Saccharomyces cerevisiae S288C: one gene and its partners. The gene in region 3 interacts genetically with the main gene of each other region. Each region holds a gene or a part of one and is shown on either strand. Other genes may lie near its edges.

Region 1 (5,774 bases), on a different chromosome or scaffold from region 3:
TAGTTCTATTCCTTTGTTGACGCATTGATAATGTTAATTTATTGAATGGTAACGTTATGCCATTGATAGGGAGCATATAAGTTTATATGTATTAGGACAGTTCTAATTGTTTATTATTAATCTAACGGTAGTTTCAAGCAGTATCTTACATCACTGCAGCTTCTGAGTGTCTAAATGATAAACTGCATAAAAAATAGCCGCGCAAGCTCGCCATCACTGTAAATGAAATTTAGACGCAAAACATAACCGCGGATGTAAACTTACTTAATAAGAGCGATTGGCAAAAGAGCCACAAAAAAAAATTGGATCAATATCTGGTGCATGGGTCTAAAAAAATTAAGCAAAACCACAACACCACGCGTTATGACAGCAGTTTTAGAGACTGTTTCTTTCTCTTCTATTGTATGAAGTAATCAGATTATTATATTGAGTAAGTACATGAATGTAATATTTAAATTGTATTTAACGATAGATGCACCAAAAAAAAAGAAAGTTACAGTAAGAGACTTCTTGTCGATTCGTTATTCCATGCCATACAGGTTAGCCTCAAATTAATTAATTCTTAAAATTCAGTAAACATTCTGGAATCCAAAAAAGTAACAAGTTCGTCGAATATCTCATCAATTATAGTGAGTTGTACACTCAACCCACCTCCAAAAAACCACAAAAATTAAGTGACTTCAATCATTTAATTCATTTTTTGAAAAATTGACATCATTGAGTATTTCTACGCATTTGTTCTCTGTTTTTGGCAACCGAAAATCCCTTGTAAAGAATCCATTAAAATTAATAAAGGAGATGTATGAATTCACCGAATGGAAAAACCGACCAAAGCACAAACACCTACTGTCTTCTATCCCTCCTTTCGATTGTTTAGATGAGCTTACCAACGTTTATATTATTTGCAATCGATTTCATCACTAAACTCAATTAAAATAATCATTCGAACTTCATTTTTTGAGAAATATTAAAAAATAAGCTGTTGTTTGTAAATATAGAAAAAAAACAATGCTCGAAGAGCACCAATAGTAAATTTTTTAATATACCTTTAACGCAAACGACGAGCTTCACGTTCAGATTCCATCAAGACCAAAATGTCGTTTTCTCTAACTGGACCCTTGACATTTCTGACAATGGTACGGGAAGTGTCTTCCAAGAACTCAACACGAACTTGGGTAACACCACCACGAGAACCGGTACGGCCTAAAACTTTGATGACTTTAGCTAAGGTGACTGGGGTCTTAGAATCCATTTTTGCTGCTCTTTTATGCTTTGCTTATTTTTTATTAATGATCAAAGAAGAAGAACTACCGGGATCTAGAAATATTTAATTGAGGAAGACCAAAAGTGCTATGGAGCAAAAAAGATCCAAGTTTCCTGGAAAACAGATGAAAAAAAAAAAATTGTCAAAAGTTGCGTGATCATTTTGTACGAAATAAGTGTCGATTGCCAGAGTACTAGCTCTGCGAGAAAAAAAAGATTCGAACATGAATAAGCTTGCCTATATTACTTTTATTAGCCATCTTAAATCTAAAAAGAATTGCGTATATGTATACTATTTATCTCTTGTTGTTATCAAATTTTCTTGTCCTAATAGCATGAACGAGCTGATCTTCCGGGAGATTCATCATGTCTTTGATCTCGCCCATGAATTTAAGCATCTCATTGGTATCATTCTGGAAATTATCTTGTAATTCGGAGAATAGTTTTTGGTATTTTTCGGACAACTCTTTTAAGATTTTCTTATTTAACTCTTGGTTTATTATCGAAATTTTTCTTACCAATTCGTTAGAAAAATGATTTATTGAACTATAAATTTGTTCTTGAAGTTTGTTTGTGAAAGTATTCTGACCAGGAGCAGATAATCCATGGGGTGACTGCAAGTCGATAACAGTGGTAGATTCCAAAATATCTGTAATGTTACAATTGTTACAGTCTTTGTCTGGGGGGGTATGTTTTTCTACTACACTTGAATCAACAAAAGTTTCGTTGTTTTTTTTGGACTCGAGAGATACTTTAGCGTCATCCTTAGTAATTTCTTTGCCTTCATTGACATCTGGAAAGCACTTTTCTTTAGTTGCTCTGCTCATTGCTTGTTCATCGTTGCTACGCACAGTTTGATCATCAACTTTCTCTGCCGCTGTTTCTGGGCTTGATTTTTCCCCTGTAACTTTCTTATCGGTACGCAGCTTACTTACTTTTATGGATTTGGGTTTTGTCGGAGCGTTTGACCTAAGGTTTCGTTTATCTTGGGAAGGGACATCGATAATGGGCTTAAAGTTTGTCAACTTTTTCTGCTGCTTCTTTTTCTCCTTTTTGTGGAATTGTTTTTGCTTCTTGGACGGAGGTTGCCCAAATATAGTGTCGAGAATGTTGATATCCCTTTTCTTAATGGAAGAATTTGACTTTAATTCGGTTATTCCGACTACCGTTTGATCAATATTAGGCTTTTCCTTAGGATTAACAAGACAGGATTTACCTACAACTAACGAGGATGTATTTACAAACGGGTTTTGTATTTGTTCGGACTGGTCTTCTTTGTTTTGTACATCCTTATCTTTAAACTCTTGTCTCAATATTTCTAGTGTTTTCGTAGATTCTCTTCTCATTTTTCTCATCTGAGCGGATACTACTGGTGACTGGTCTTCTGAATCAATATGGACGTAGTCTGTTTGCCTTTTTGTTTCCTTAGTGCTGCTTATTTTCAGGTCTGCAAGAACATTACCTTCTTCGTCTTCAGTATTTGACTTTAAATCCCATTCATCAGATCTTATGGAAACAGAACGGTCGGGAGTGACTAACTGAACCTTTTCGTTATGATTATGGGGAATAGATGATTTTATTGGATATACCATGGGAGTGGATAATTCATCGAGAGATTCTTCCTCTTCATCCTCTTTCTGCTCATCTGCCCTTCCGATTTGCTCTTCTTCTTCACCTTCATTCTCTGGTTCTTCTTCAATATAGTCTAAAACTAAAAAGTTTTGTACTTCACTAATCTTAGGTATATTGTTGACATTGTGAAAAAAAGTTTCACCTAATTTCTCGTCTTCAAATTCCAGCTGAAACCCCTTCGTTTTGTTAAATAAGAGTGCTGTTTTATCAGCGGTAGTTCTCACACATTCATGGAAAGGTTGCCTCAATTTAATTTGAATTTTATTTTTTAAGTTTTTGGTAATCCTGATTTTCTTTCTTTCAAATTCCAAAGGGGCTTTTTCGTCTAACCAAAGATAGATTTTGTTGTAAATGCACTGAATGAAGTAAGAATTTTCATCGTCTTTTTTCTTAAATATACGGAGATTTTTTAATGTTTCAGATCCGCTATAAGAAACCTGCCTTAGAATACCCGTAAAGGATAAAGTTGACATGAAATTATTGCACAGGAATTGGCAGGTTTGTAAGCTCCCATTTTTGCTGCTAAAAGGGTAAAATTCATTTTCAAAGAAAAACTTGTTCTTAGACCTGCTTTGCCATAACTGAGGTATTTTTTCCACTTTCTTGGAATTTGAAGCACTTTTTTTAAAACAGTTAGAGAGAATTTCCACCAGAAAATTTCCTTGTTGCAAATCTTGAATATTATCAAACAACTGACCAATCTTTTTGGCATGTTCTGTCTCGATCAGGTTAGTTATAATCTTTTTGGATTGAGGGACACTGCTGAGGATGCTGCTAATAACGGCCAAGCATTTCCAACTGACTGGATTTTCCATTGCGATGCCAGTCTCAAGTAAATAATTTAAAACTTTGGAGTCTTCGTCTATATTAATCTCAGAAGAAAATCTTAATTTTAAAATGAAATGCCAGATATCATCACTTGGAAGATTTGAATCGGTGATTTTAACGGCAACATTTATGATGTGAAATAACAACTCAAAATTTTGAATTACTTCTCTCTTTATTACTAGCAAATGGAGAAATTCCTGCAGTTGTTTAGAAGTTTCCAAAGTCATTAACCCATAGTGGATTCCTTTCGTTTCATTCCTAGTCTGTGCTAAGTCATTTTTCAGGCAAACACCAAAAATCTTTTTCTTCAAACCTTCCATTCTTATCACCGTATTTGCTGTCCCTTTGTGGTCCTCACTGATTAAAAAATCTTTGTTCTATTTTTCTTATTACCTTTAATGCTTCACGAATGATGTGAATGTTTTGCGAATGATGTGATTGAATCCATCTGATCCTGCTGCGAAATCGTAGTTTATTTAGCCGCTGAACCCTTTGAGCAAGTATTTATCGTTTTTAACGTTGAAAAAGTAGTCATATTCAAATTATATAAACCAGCCAATAATACGTTACTTTGCCTTTTTAGATCACACAATTAAGCGGATACAAGATCACCCATCATAAAGGGTTGGCAAACGCCATTGTTTTTGTCGAACCTTACCTGATATCTCCAGAAATCCAATGTATATCTTCTGTATGAAAATATGAATTGTGAGTGCACATGCCTTTTCTAACAGGGAAACCTGTTGTGATTTGTCATTGAATGTGATGAAAAGCTCCTCCAGTCGCCTCGGCTTGGCTTGGCTTGTCTTGGCTTTTTTGGTTTATTCTTTCTGTCCTGAGATAAAAATTGTAGTAAATCTATACTTCTGGAAGTTTCCCGCGACGAAAATGAACGAGGAAAATAAAAAATTTCATGTTTAAAATCCTGTAATTGATTGCTCTTCCACGCACAGTAAGTTGCAAAACCAGAAGAATAACTGAAAAACCCTAAGCAATCATGTCTAGTCGCCAAGGTGGTAAGATGAAGCCTCTAAAGCAAAAGAAGAAGCAACAACAGGACTTAGATCCTGAAGACATTGCCTTCAAAGAGAAGCAAAAGGCCGATGCTGCTGCTAAGAAAGCTTTGATGGCTAATATGAAAAGTGGTAAACCTTTAGTGGGTGGTGGTATCAAAAAATCTGGTAAGAAATAAAAGGCCTTTAACAACGTCTAATAAAAATTTACTCAGTATTTTCTAGTTCTCGTTTTTTAAGTAAATACATATATTACCAAAGAAAAGCTATTTGCAAGATATATCGTTCTTTCCGATGTTTTACAATCGTAATTACTATGTATAATGGTTACATCTAGCAAATTTGGAGGTTTCCTAAATAAAGCCCCTTGCGTGTCTCTCTAGAGGTACGAAAACAACTGATATATAATGGACCCTTTTCTATTGTGGTGACAGGCATAAGGATAAATATTTATAGATGGCTAAGGAAAATAAGAAAAATACTTCTCCCTATTCATGAACCGGGCATCTTGAGTAGAATAGGGTGCTTCTATTCGTTAGTGCTGGTATTAACTTCTAGTGAAAAATGGCCGAATAATTTCCGGGTAATAAAGCCTTCAGCACAGCTCAATTAGTGGAGGAAAATATTGCCCATATATAGATTGTTACTATGTATGATGTAAGAATATCACAATTGGGCACTTAAGGTTGTGTGAAAAGAAGTGTTTGAAGCTGTTGATTCTGAACAGTAAAAGATAAACAAAGAAGAGATTAACAATGAGCAGATCCGGGAAATCATTGACAAAGTACAAAATTGTTTTTTTGGGAGAACAGGGTGTTGGAAAAACATCGCTGATCACTAGATTTATGTATGATACGTTCGATGATCATTACCAAGCCACGATTGGTATAGATTTTCTTTCCAAGACCATGTATTTGGATGATAAGACAATTAGATTACAGTTATGGGATACAGCAGGTCAGGAAAGATTTAGATCATTAATACCTTCATATATCAGAGATTCGAGAGTTGCTATTATCGTTTACGACATTACGAAGA
Region 2 (4,880 bases), 270 kb from region 3:
TTATTAAATAATAACAAGCTTCACTAATCTAGCGTTCATACAACATACAAATCAGTGTGTTGAAAATTATTATTCTCTGATATTCTCTCCCTCCTTTTAAATTTTTAAAATGAATTGTATCCCTAGTCCAATTAGTGAAAGGAAAATCCAAATTAATAATGAAGATTGTATAGGCAAGGAAAATGCTTTCCATACCATTCCAAGAGAAAGTTCAATTAACTTGACACCTCACTCTACGAATGAAAAAAAAGTTCTATCCGAGGTAAACAGTAACAAAATCGATTCTTTACAACTCCCTCGAGGTAAATTGCAAAGAGATTCCACCCATTTGGAAAAAACAAGAAAGAGACAATTATCAAATGATTCAACCGATCCTATAGAGCCAAAAACTGTGAAAAAAATAAAATGTCATCAATGGAAAAATTTGGATTCGATAGAGATGGATGATCCATTCATGGTAGCAGAATATACAGATTCTATATTTTCTCATCTTTACGAGAAGGAAATCCAAATGCTACCGACACATAACTATTTAATGGACACGCAATCTCCCTATCATTTGAAAAGCTCCATGAGGGCGCTGTTAATTGACTGGTTGGTTGAAGTTCATGAGAAATTTCACTGCTTACCTGAAACATTATTTTTAGCGATCAACCTGCTAGATCGATTTTTATCACAAAATGTTGTTAAATTGAATAAATTACAACTACTATGCATCACTTGCCTGTTCATTGCCTGTAAATTTGAAGAAGTTAAATTACCAAAAATAACAAATTTTGCGTACGTGACTGACGGTGCTGCCACTGTCGAAGGAATTAGGAAGGCTGAGCTATTCGTTCTAAGTTCTTTAGGTTATAACATATCTCTACCAAACCCCCTAAATTTCATTAGGAGAATTTCAAAAGCTGACAATTACTGCATTGAAACAAGGAACATGGCCAAATTCATCATGGAATATTCGATTTGTTGTAATAAATTCATCCACCTGAAGCCATCATATTTAGCTGCAATGTCCATGTATATCGCCAGAAAAATTAAAAATGAAAATTCCAAATGGGATGAAACTTTTATTCATTATAGTGGCGGCATTGATATTGAATCAGATCCAGCGTTTAAGGATTTTATCAGTGAACTAGTTGAAGATATTGCTGTACCTGATACGAATCTAGATTCCTTGAGACTTAAATACAAAAAGCCTAAACATGGCATGGTTTATTTCAAGGTTTTTGACTGGTGTAAACAAAAACGTTGAAACATAGATCAAAATTATAGCCAGCTAACCCCCTGCATCTTAAATATCATCGATAGACATACTTCTTTATTTCTTTTATGTATTCAAAAAAAGAAAGAAAATGCATTATTCCTCACTTTAAAGATAATTTTCCAATTATGGGAGAAAAAATTTATAAATGAATTAATTATTACAGCCTACAAAACTGATACCGTGTGATAATATATATGAGATAACCGTTATATGAATAATGAATGCCTGATTTTTCTATAAAATAGATGATAAAGTAAGGAAGTGAGATTTTGGTTTTCTGTGTAGGCTAGCACCTTCACTCATGCAATGTCATAATATCATATCCATTTTTCCTTACCTTCAATGCCCATTCGATAGAAATTATGGAAGCCTTTAAAAATCTTCTCGATTGATATTTTTTCAAGAACTCGTCGTGAATAGTAGATCCAACAAGATAATCCATCAGTAATTGGCAAACGGGATATAGTTTTGCCTTTGTGTAACCACCACTATAATGGATTAAGTTGCCATCCCAGGTGCCCTTGCCCAGCATTTTTCTCGAAAGGAACATTGCCGCTGAGGCACATAATGACGGTAATATCCCGATGAACTTGAAGTCCACTATAGATATTTCCATTAGGAACTTCGCTAACGTCCTAGACTGGATATCATAGTCATCCGCTTTTGATATTCTCCTTAAGAAATTCATTGGGTTAGCGAAACTAATTTGAAAATCGAGTTTTTCCAATATAAATCTTTCACCCTCTTTAATATCTTCCACAGAGCATGCACCGTCTGTCTCGTACGCAAAATGTTTTATGCTAGGGGAGTATATTTCCTCATACTTAGATGCGATGAACAGGCATGATGTACCAACCAGTTGCAATCTATTTAACTGAACCACCTCTTCACAAAGAAATCTATCCATTATGTTTATGGCCAAATATAGAGTTTCCGGCAGAAGGCCAAACTTATTATGAATCTTGATTATCCAGTTCACCAAAATGTCTCTGTTTTGCTTAATATTTTTATGCTTATAGAGATTCGCCTTATTTGGCAATGTGATTATTTCCAAGTGATGCAAATAATCGAAGATATCATTAACCTCTTCGCTCACCATTAAGGGATCATCACAATCTTCTTCATCTAGGTCATCCCATTCGTACTCCTCCAGAACCTCTTCTTCTGTAGTCAATTCATGGAGTTTGAACTTTTTCTGGTCATCCTGCTCTACAAGAGTTGATATTGGCCTTTTTTTTTTGGAATCTTCTCTCATTATTTTTTTCTGCCATTCCATTTGAGTGGAAATAGACTTGTTCTCAGAGTATATCAACCGATTACAGCTCAAGGCAGTCGAATTCGTATGAAAAGAGTCATCATTTGAGCACTGCTGCTTTTCTTGCTCGGAATATCCATATTCAGGAATATTTTCCTTATTGTTTAGTACTTCTTGTTTCACCCCCTGTCTACTGTCATTAAAAGAGGAGGTGAAGTCATCGGCTCTCGAAACATCATCCTTTAAAGGAAAGAAGTTGTTCAATTTTGAGAAGTTCTTCATCCCAATTTTTCTGTTCATAGAAATCTCTTGCAGGATATTTGCATTATTTGTGACATTACCGAGAATGGTCCTTGGGACGTTTCTCTTTTGTAAGATATATTGACTTTCGTTTACCCCCTTCTCTTCATTACTATTAATGGTTCTACTATTCTCTACCAAAAGGGATCGTGACATTATGAGAAGATTAAAGCTTCCTTTGATGGTTGATATAACGGACGAAAATATTTTGGCTCTGTTCTTGTTGGTAGATCTTATTCTTAATTACGCTTTTGTGATCTAAACAGCTGCACCAGTTAGCAACTTTAATAGTTTTAAGAAACTATACCAAGAGCCACAAGTAAAACTGTCGCTGGAAAAACCGAAGACACTAAAATTGCAGCCTGCTCAAGTTTGGCCGAATGTAAAAAACACAATACAACCAAAATTGCCTAGAATAGATCACCCTAGTATCTTCTTCTTACACAGAAGTGCAATAACTTCTATTACTTAATATATATAACTACACGCCGTATTCATAAAAGAAGGATCAAACCCGTTTCTGCAGAGGAAGACGAATGAGGAAATCACAAACAAAACAAATTGGGCAGACCGTATGCGGAACGCAAATTGAAGTAATATGTTATGTACGTTCCGCACCTAACTTGCAGGATACCCATAAATGATGCTGTAAAAATGCAAGTTGAAAATGATTAATTAATACAACAAATTTAAAGTTACCGTTGACGTGAGTTTTATGGTGCTTCTATATTTTGTGTCCGCTTCTTGATTGTTGATGTTTTTCCTCTTTGGGCGGTTGTAAACAAAAGGTCGTGCCCGTTTTGTGAGAGCCCCTACTCGAAAACGGTAGTGAAAAACCGCCCAAATGATGCATCTAGTAAAGAAAACTAATTGAAGCGCGTCTGTGTGTGCCTGCTTCAAGAATGACACTGGGCATGCATAGCCTCGTTGAAAAGTCCACTTGCAATACGACGAAAGAGGAGCCAGTAGCACATAATTAATCGGAGGGAATCTCGATCGTGTCCTATTCAAATTTGGAAGAAACGCCTTTTTTAACAGAGCGGGCGGACTTTCAATAAAATTGGATGCAAAAAAAAAAAATGACTGAGTACAAGCGAAGCTTACTAAATAATTGGATAACACCATGAATGATATTATGGAGCAATTCGATAGTTCAAAAATTGACAAAGACAATGCTTTTACGCATCAATAAAAAATGCCGTAACTGTTGCAGTTTTCAGCGTTAGTTTCAATTTTAAGATTATTTTTACTATGAATAGAAGATAAATATTTTCATTTCCCCCCCAGTTGTTGTCATTATGAACATATAAAACATTCATTTACTCTTGTTTATTATCATTCATAGATCAAGAATATATGGTAAATAACGCAAGAAGCTCTTGGAACAATCGTAATGATAAAATAGAAAAGAACAATTGCGCTGTAAATTCTTACGTCCAAAACAATTGTAGTTTAATGCGGGTGAAAATACGTTAACATTAGGCTTGTTTCCAACGAGAACTGTGGCAAGGAAATGTAAACATTAGCATTGCAAAGTCTCTTGCCGAACCTATAGATTACCGATTGAACTTGGCTTGCTACGTATTTTCGAAGTAGTGGATATTTTCATCTTGATTGATTTCTGCTAAAATAACAATCAGTTATCTTCCGCATATTACTCATGCAACAAACTGAAGCTATTATTTACCTTACATCGAATTTTCAAGAAGCGATGATAAAAAATGGTGTGAAATTATATGACCTGAAGACCAGAATTAAACAATCATTGAACCTGACAGAAGCTGATGCACGAAAGTTGATACTTTAAAAAGTATTCTGCGTAAGAAAACCAAACTTAAATATTGCCTTCAAAATTAATTTGTATCAATTGCACGAACAGTTGATGGACTATTATGTCATGAAGAAGAACCGCTTCAATTGCCAATATACATAAAGCTAATAGCAATGATATAAATAGAATTTCGGAACCACCGTTAAGTCCTACTGGATTTTCTCGGTCTGAATAGAATGTTGGAACAGGTTGGTTGCCATTCCCTACATATGTAACTATGGTGATAATCT
Region 3 (5,178 bases):
ATTTTGCGAACGCCTGAACAACCATGCGGATTACCATTATTTATATTGACAAGATGGCTACCTATGAAAAGCATAGACTTACTAACATTTTTTTTTTCAAATATGTTTGAAAAACGTGGATTAATATAGTGATAAAATGAAGGTTGAAATCGATTCTTTTTCAGGTGCCAAAATCTACCCAGGCAGAGGTACCTTGTTTGTCCGTGGTGACTCCAAAATCTTCAGATTCCAAAACTCCAAATCTGCCTCTTTGTTCAAGCAAAGAAAGAACCCAAGAAGAATCGCTTGGACTGTCTTATTCAGAAAGCATCACAAGAAGGGTATCACCGAAGAAGTTGCTAAGAAGAGATCTAGAAAAACCGTTAAGGCCCAAAGACCAATTACCGGTGCTTCTTTGGACTTGATCAAGGAAAGAAGATCTTTGAAGCCAGAAGTTAGAAAGGCTAACAGAGAAGAAAAATTGAAGGCCAACAAAGAAAAGAAGAAGGCTGAAAAGGCTGCTAGAAAGGCTGAAAAGGCTAAGTCTGCTGGTACTCAAAGTTCTAAGTTCTCCAAGCAACAAGCTAAGGGTGCTTTCCAAAAGGTTGCTGCTACTTCTCGTTAAGATTTATGCTCGAACTTATTATGTACAATGAATATTTTTCTTTTAAATCATTTTTAAATATTTCAATTTAGTATTATTTTCTGTATAATTCATTCGCGAGGTATAATCTACCATCCACTTCTCTATCATTATACTCCCATATTTTTTTATTCACAGGCTAGACAATGGTAATGGTGCTTTAGATGATTTCAGTGGATTACATTCGCACAATAGAATAAATGACTAATTTTCAAGAATTTGTTTCAACCTGCCGGCATTCAGTTATTATAAGTTATTGTTTGATGGTAAAACTTCGCCATCACCGGTTGCTGCGTTTATTGCAAAATTACTGAAACCATGTAATTTCCGAATACGGTAATTACACGCAGTTTGAAATTTGACATGCAAGTTTAACAAAAAAACTTCTGTCCGCATCTAAAGCTTAATTAAGGGACTGTTTCATACCTTCAGATCCAATATACTGAATATCAGGCAATTGATTTCCCTTGTAAATATACAATATAAATAGTTGTAAGAAGAGGTGATATGTTAAGTTTCCATTTTGACGTATTCCTCATTCTAGAATGATTGTAAGCTCTCAACAGTCACTTGTGTGCCAAAATATTATACCTACTTCATACATTTTCAATTAAGATGCAGTTACTTCGCTGTTTTTCAATATTTTCTGTTATTGCTTCAGTTTTAGCACAGGAACTGACAACTATATGCGAGCAAATCCCCTCACCAACTTTAGAATCGACGCCGTACTCTTTGTCAACGACTACTATTTTGGCCAACGGGAAGGCAATGCAAGGAGTTTTTGAATATTACAAATCAGTAACGTTTGTCAGTAATTGCGGTTCTCACCCCTCAACAACTAGCAAAGGCAGCCCCATAAACACACAGTATGTTTTTTGAGCCTTCCCCCCCAAGTTTCCATTTCATCGTTCGTGACACTTATAAACTAGTGTAAGATTATTTACCTATATATAATTTGATAATAATAGCAAAGAATAAGAAAAAAAAACAATCATGATAAGTAAAATAGCAAGTGTTCCGGTACGGAACAACCAATTGCTTTTCACATCAAATGTCCTCAAATCCAATTTCTTCCTGTAAAGATTTCGTTAGTATATTCAAAAGAAAAGGTCTCGAAAAATGTTCAAAATACATACCAAAAATTCATTCATATTTTTCGGGCACACTGAGTCCTTTATTGTAGCAATTAGGTTTTTGCAAATCTTTGATCTCTTCGTGATTTCTTTTTGTAGCAGCGTATCTTCAGACATTATCCGCTTGACAATCTCATCATTTGCTGGATCCCAATCATCCTGTAGACTTTGTAATTTTGATTCAATCTTTTTCAACTCGTTTTCTTCGTTTTCAATGATTGTTAGGAGATCTTCATTTTCAGGTTCTTTAGTTACAGAGTCAAGAGCGTCTTTGGCCGTTGATTTATCTCTCTCTAGTTCTATTAAATCATTTCTCAGTTGCAATACAGTTTCAAAATCAAACTGAGAAGGATCAATATTGCTTGGTAATGCTGTATCTTGTTCATTACAAGAGTAAATTATAATCTTTCCGAAGGTTTTAGACACTATGCGTTTCTCGTTAACGAGATTTTCTAATGCTTTGGTTGCTGTTGTTTTTGTCACTTTATTGTGCAAATTCTGAACTATATCATTTACAGAAAATGGTTTATATTGTGACACCAAGTAATCTTCTATTAATTGTTCAGCTGATAAAATACCCGGGGTACAATTGTTAGTAATGGCGGTATTTGATGAGCATGTAAAAAAATACTTAACCTTCTGAGCCTTTTGCCTGAATGGCTCTATCGTTTGATTTCTTTTTCGGTGCCATATCTTTCAAATAGAGCCTGGTCAGTTCACGTTAGCTTTATTATTAATATTTGTTAGAAACAACTCTTAAAACGCTTCTCTTTTTCGGTCGCGTAAAAGGATAATATTATTAATGGAAAATTTAGCCGCCGAGGACATAATCTTTTGAATCTTCATAAAAAAGCAACTGTAAGCAATGTAAAGTCCAAAACTTTACCATTTTTTGTTTGATCTTGCATGAGAATACCGGGTGAGCCTAACATGAAAAAGATAGCTAGCCACTATTGTAAAAATGTGATAAAGGATACGAGACTCAAATTCACTTGGATAACTATCTAGCAGGTTTTGAGTCAGCCATATTAGGTTACATACCGGTCCAAACCTATATAGAGCCATTGTACGATCCGACTACAAGTTATTTATATGGAAATTAACAGATTGTTTGGAGTCACCGTACGCAGCTCACATAGATAGCTTATTGTGCAAAATATAATTAAATAAAGATGCAAGATGGATGATAACAAGAATTATAAGCAAAGGATTATTGATGTTCCGAATAATTCAATTCACTATATAACAGGTGTTGGGTATATGTATGTGATCTACCTGGTACGTGTAATTTAAAAAATAAAATAATTGGGAAAACTACGGAATTACGTTTGCGCATTGCGTCCGAAGATCAGCACCTCAGATAAAAAATCAACTTTCGCCGTGGTAGACTTCGAGATACTCTGCTAATAGCGATGCTCGATATTACTACCAATGTATGTGAAGGTTTTGATTGTATTCAATCCTTTTTCAGATAATTTACCCTTGCTTTAAGCTGCGTATATCAAGTGCATTTGCTGTCTGCTGATGTCAATTAATTGTATCAATTGGCCAGCTTCGGATAACGAACGATTATCGCGCGAGTGAAATAGACTGGGTCGACCCTTTTGAATTATCACGGCATCGCAATATCTTTGGAGCAGTACAACATTTACTTTTCTTGACCAATCCTAAGAGTTTGTATACATTTTTTGTAAACTGTAGTACGGCGTTAGAGTCAAGAAGTAGCTTATTATATCCTGTGCACAAATTTCAAAGTTTTTGCCGCCATCATATGGCTGAAAGAGGGCAGCAAATTCCATCTCGTTATTTTTGCATATCAACGCAAGCGTTACACAAGATATGGTTAGAAGCAACGAGCAGAAATTCATTACAATGACAGAAATTAATTGCCGTTGCAACATTGTTTTGCCTCTATCGCGTGTGTTTCCTTGAAGGCAGTGTATCACTGAATGTCATCAGTAATGTTACCAAGAATGAACATCCTCCAAATACTCATAGAAACCCGTTTAAAATTCGGGAATTGATGACTTCCTTATGGTAGGCAAGTGTGATTTACAGACTTTCCATGCGATGAACCCCTATTTTAATCGTATGGATCACCAGATCAAGAATTGGCAGTTCTGTCCCATTATTAGAATAGCGAGAAAACGGATGCTTTCATAATTTTTGATTGTTGCTTCATCCTATTTCACCCTATTTAATAGCCTTCTGTAGAAATATCGTGTATGGTTCCTTTATCATTGCTTAGCATAGCTGCCACTAACCTACATTAATCGACTTTTTCCCGGAAAATTAGCGGGTAATCGATTTTTCTAGATGGCATTGTGGAGGAAAGTAAGTGCGTGGGGTGTGTAAGTTGCCGTACAATGCAGTATAACCAGTAGGACTGGAAGGTAGTCAGTACAGTAAGACTAGAAGTTAGCGAGCCAGCACGTTTCCTTCGCGCCGGTTTTTTTTTTTATTTTTTATTTAATTTTTTTCAAAACTTGACGTGTAGAAGATTGACGTCTGGGGTTGGCCCCATGAATTTTTTATCTATTTCTTCCCTGTGCCTAATTCGTAATATCTCCACTGATAGCGTAAAAAAGCGCTTTATTTTTCCGAAAGTTGTGATGGCATTCCATACAGTTTATAGGATGGTAGCAAGTGATAAGAGCTTGGGGCCCACAATTAAGCAGCAGAAAAGCGCAATTGCGACACTAGCAGTGTAACTCGATAGGATTTTATGGAGTGTTGATGAATGTAGTTGCCATTATAATGGCTTCTCAGGAAACCTGTAGCGGCCGGGCCCCGCGAGAAACTCCAGAGTGGCGTAGGCCGGCTTGTTTAGTTGCTAGCATACTTGTTCGAGCTCTTGAGTTCTCCTGGCTTTTCTCCACGTGTCTGCTTGTTGCCTTTGATTTCGCGAGAGACTGCGGACTGCCACCCCACTCCGGGAAAACCTGGAGTGATGGTAAAGGCCCTGCGGCGCTTTCTTTCGGAAAAACTAATACGAAAGAAGCAACAACAAATTTTTACAACAGGCTGGACGAGAAAAGTGGGGAAGAGCAAGCAGAAAAAAGAAAAGAGAATAGTCGTTCTTGGATAATTTATTTATTATAACCCTTTTTTTTCACCCCAGTACTCATTAACGAAGACAAAGGAGAGTAAGAAAGCCCGGTAAAGCATTTCGAAGATAAGAGAGCCATTTATTCTAGCTCGCTTGTAACTACACGAGAGTTGAGTATAGTGGAGACGACATACTACCATAGCCATGCAAAGCCCATATCCAATGACACAAGTGTCTAACGTTGATGATGGGTCACTATTGAAGGAGAGTAAAAGCAAGTCCAAAGTAGCTGCGAAGTCAGAGGCGCCAAGACCACATGCTTGTCCTATCTGTCATAGAGCTTTTCACAGACTGGAACATCAGACGAGACACAT

The links. A genetic interaction does not mean that the proteins touch.
Region 1: of HOP2 (region 3) and RED1, extra expression of one rescues a mutant of the other (dosage rescue), as found in Saccharomyces cerevisiae (one study listed by BioGRID).
Region 2: of HOP2 (region 3) and CLB1, extra expression of one rescues a mutant of the other (dosage rescue), as found in Saccharomyces cerevisiae (one study listed by BioGRID).

The regions. Positions count from the first base shown.
Region 1 is NC_001144.5:668,609-674,382, reverse strand, and holds RED1 (Red1p), read right to left. Parts: upstream 4,044-5,774; coding exon 1,560-4,043; downstream 1-1,559. Other genes in the region: YLR264C-A (uncharacterized protein), read left to right, coding at 439-555; 40S ribosomal protein eS28 RPS28B, read right to left, coding at 1,049-1,252; TMA7 (Tma7p), read left to right, coding at 4,721-4,915; Rab family GTPase YPT6, read left to right, coding at 5,492-5,774.
Region 2 is NC_001139.9:701,731-706,610, reverse strand, and holds CLB1 (B-type cyclin CLB1), read right to left. Parts: upstream 2,976-4,880; coding exon 1,560-2,975; downstream 1-1,559. Other genes in the region: B-type cyclin CLB6, read left to right, coding at 110-1,252. UniProt on the Saccharomyces cerevisiae protein: Essential for the control of the cell cycle at the G2/M (mitosis) transition. Interacts with the CDC2 protein kinase to form MPF. G2/M cyclins accumulate steadily during G2 and are abruptly destroyed at mitosis.
Region 3 is NC_001139.9:432,893-438,070, reverse strand, and holds HOP2 (Hop2p), read right to left. Parts: upstream 2,447-5,178; coding exon 2,392-2,446; intron 2,322-2,391; coding exon 1,759-2,321; intron 1,697-1,758; coding exon 1,670-1,696; downstream 1-1,669. Other genes in the region: 60S ribosomal protein eL24 RPL24A, read left to right, coding at 137-604; AGA2 (Aga2p), read left to right, coding at 1,238-1,501; YGL034C (uncharacterized protein), read left to right, coding at 4,492-4,857; transcription factor MIG1, read left to right, coding at 5,009-5,178. UniProt on the Saccharomyces cerevisiae protein: Required for proper homologous chromosome pairing and efficient cross-over and intragenic recombination during meiosis. Stimulates DMC1-dependent homologous strand assimilation required for the resolution of meiotic double-strand breaks.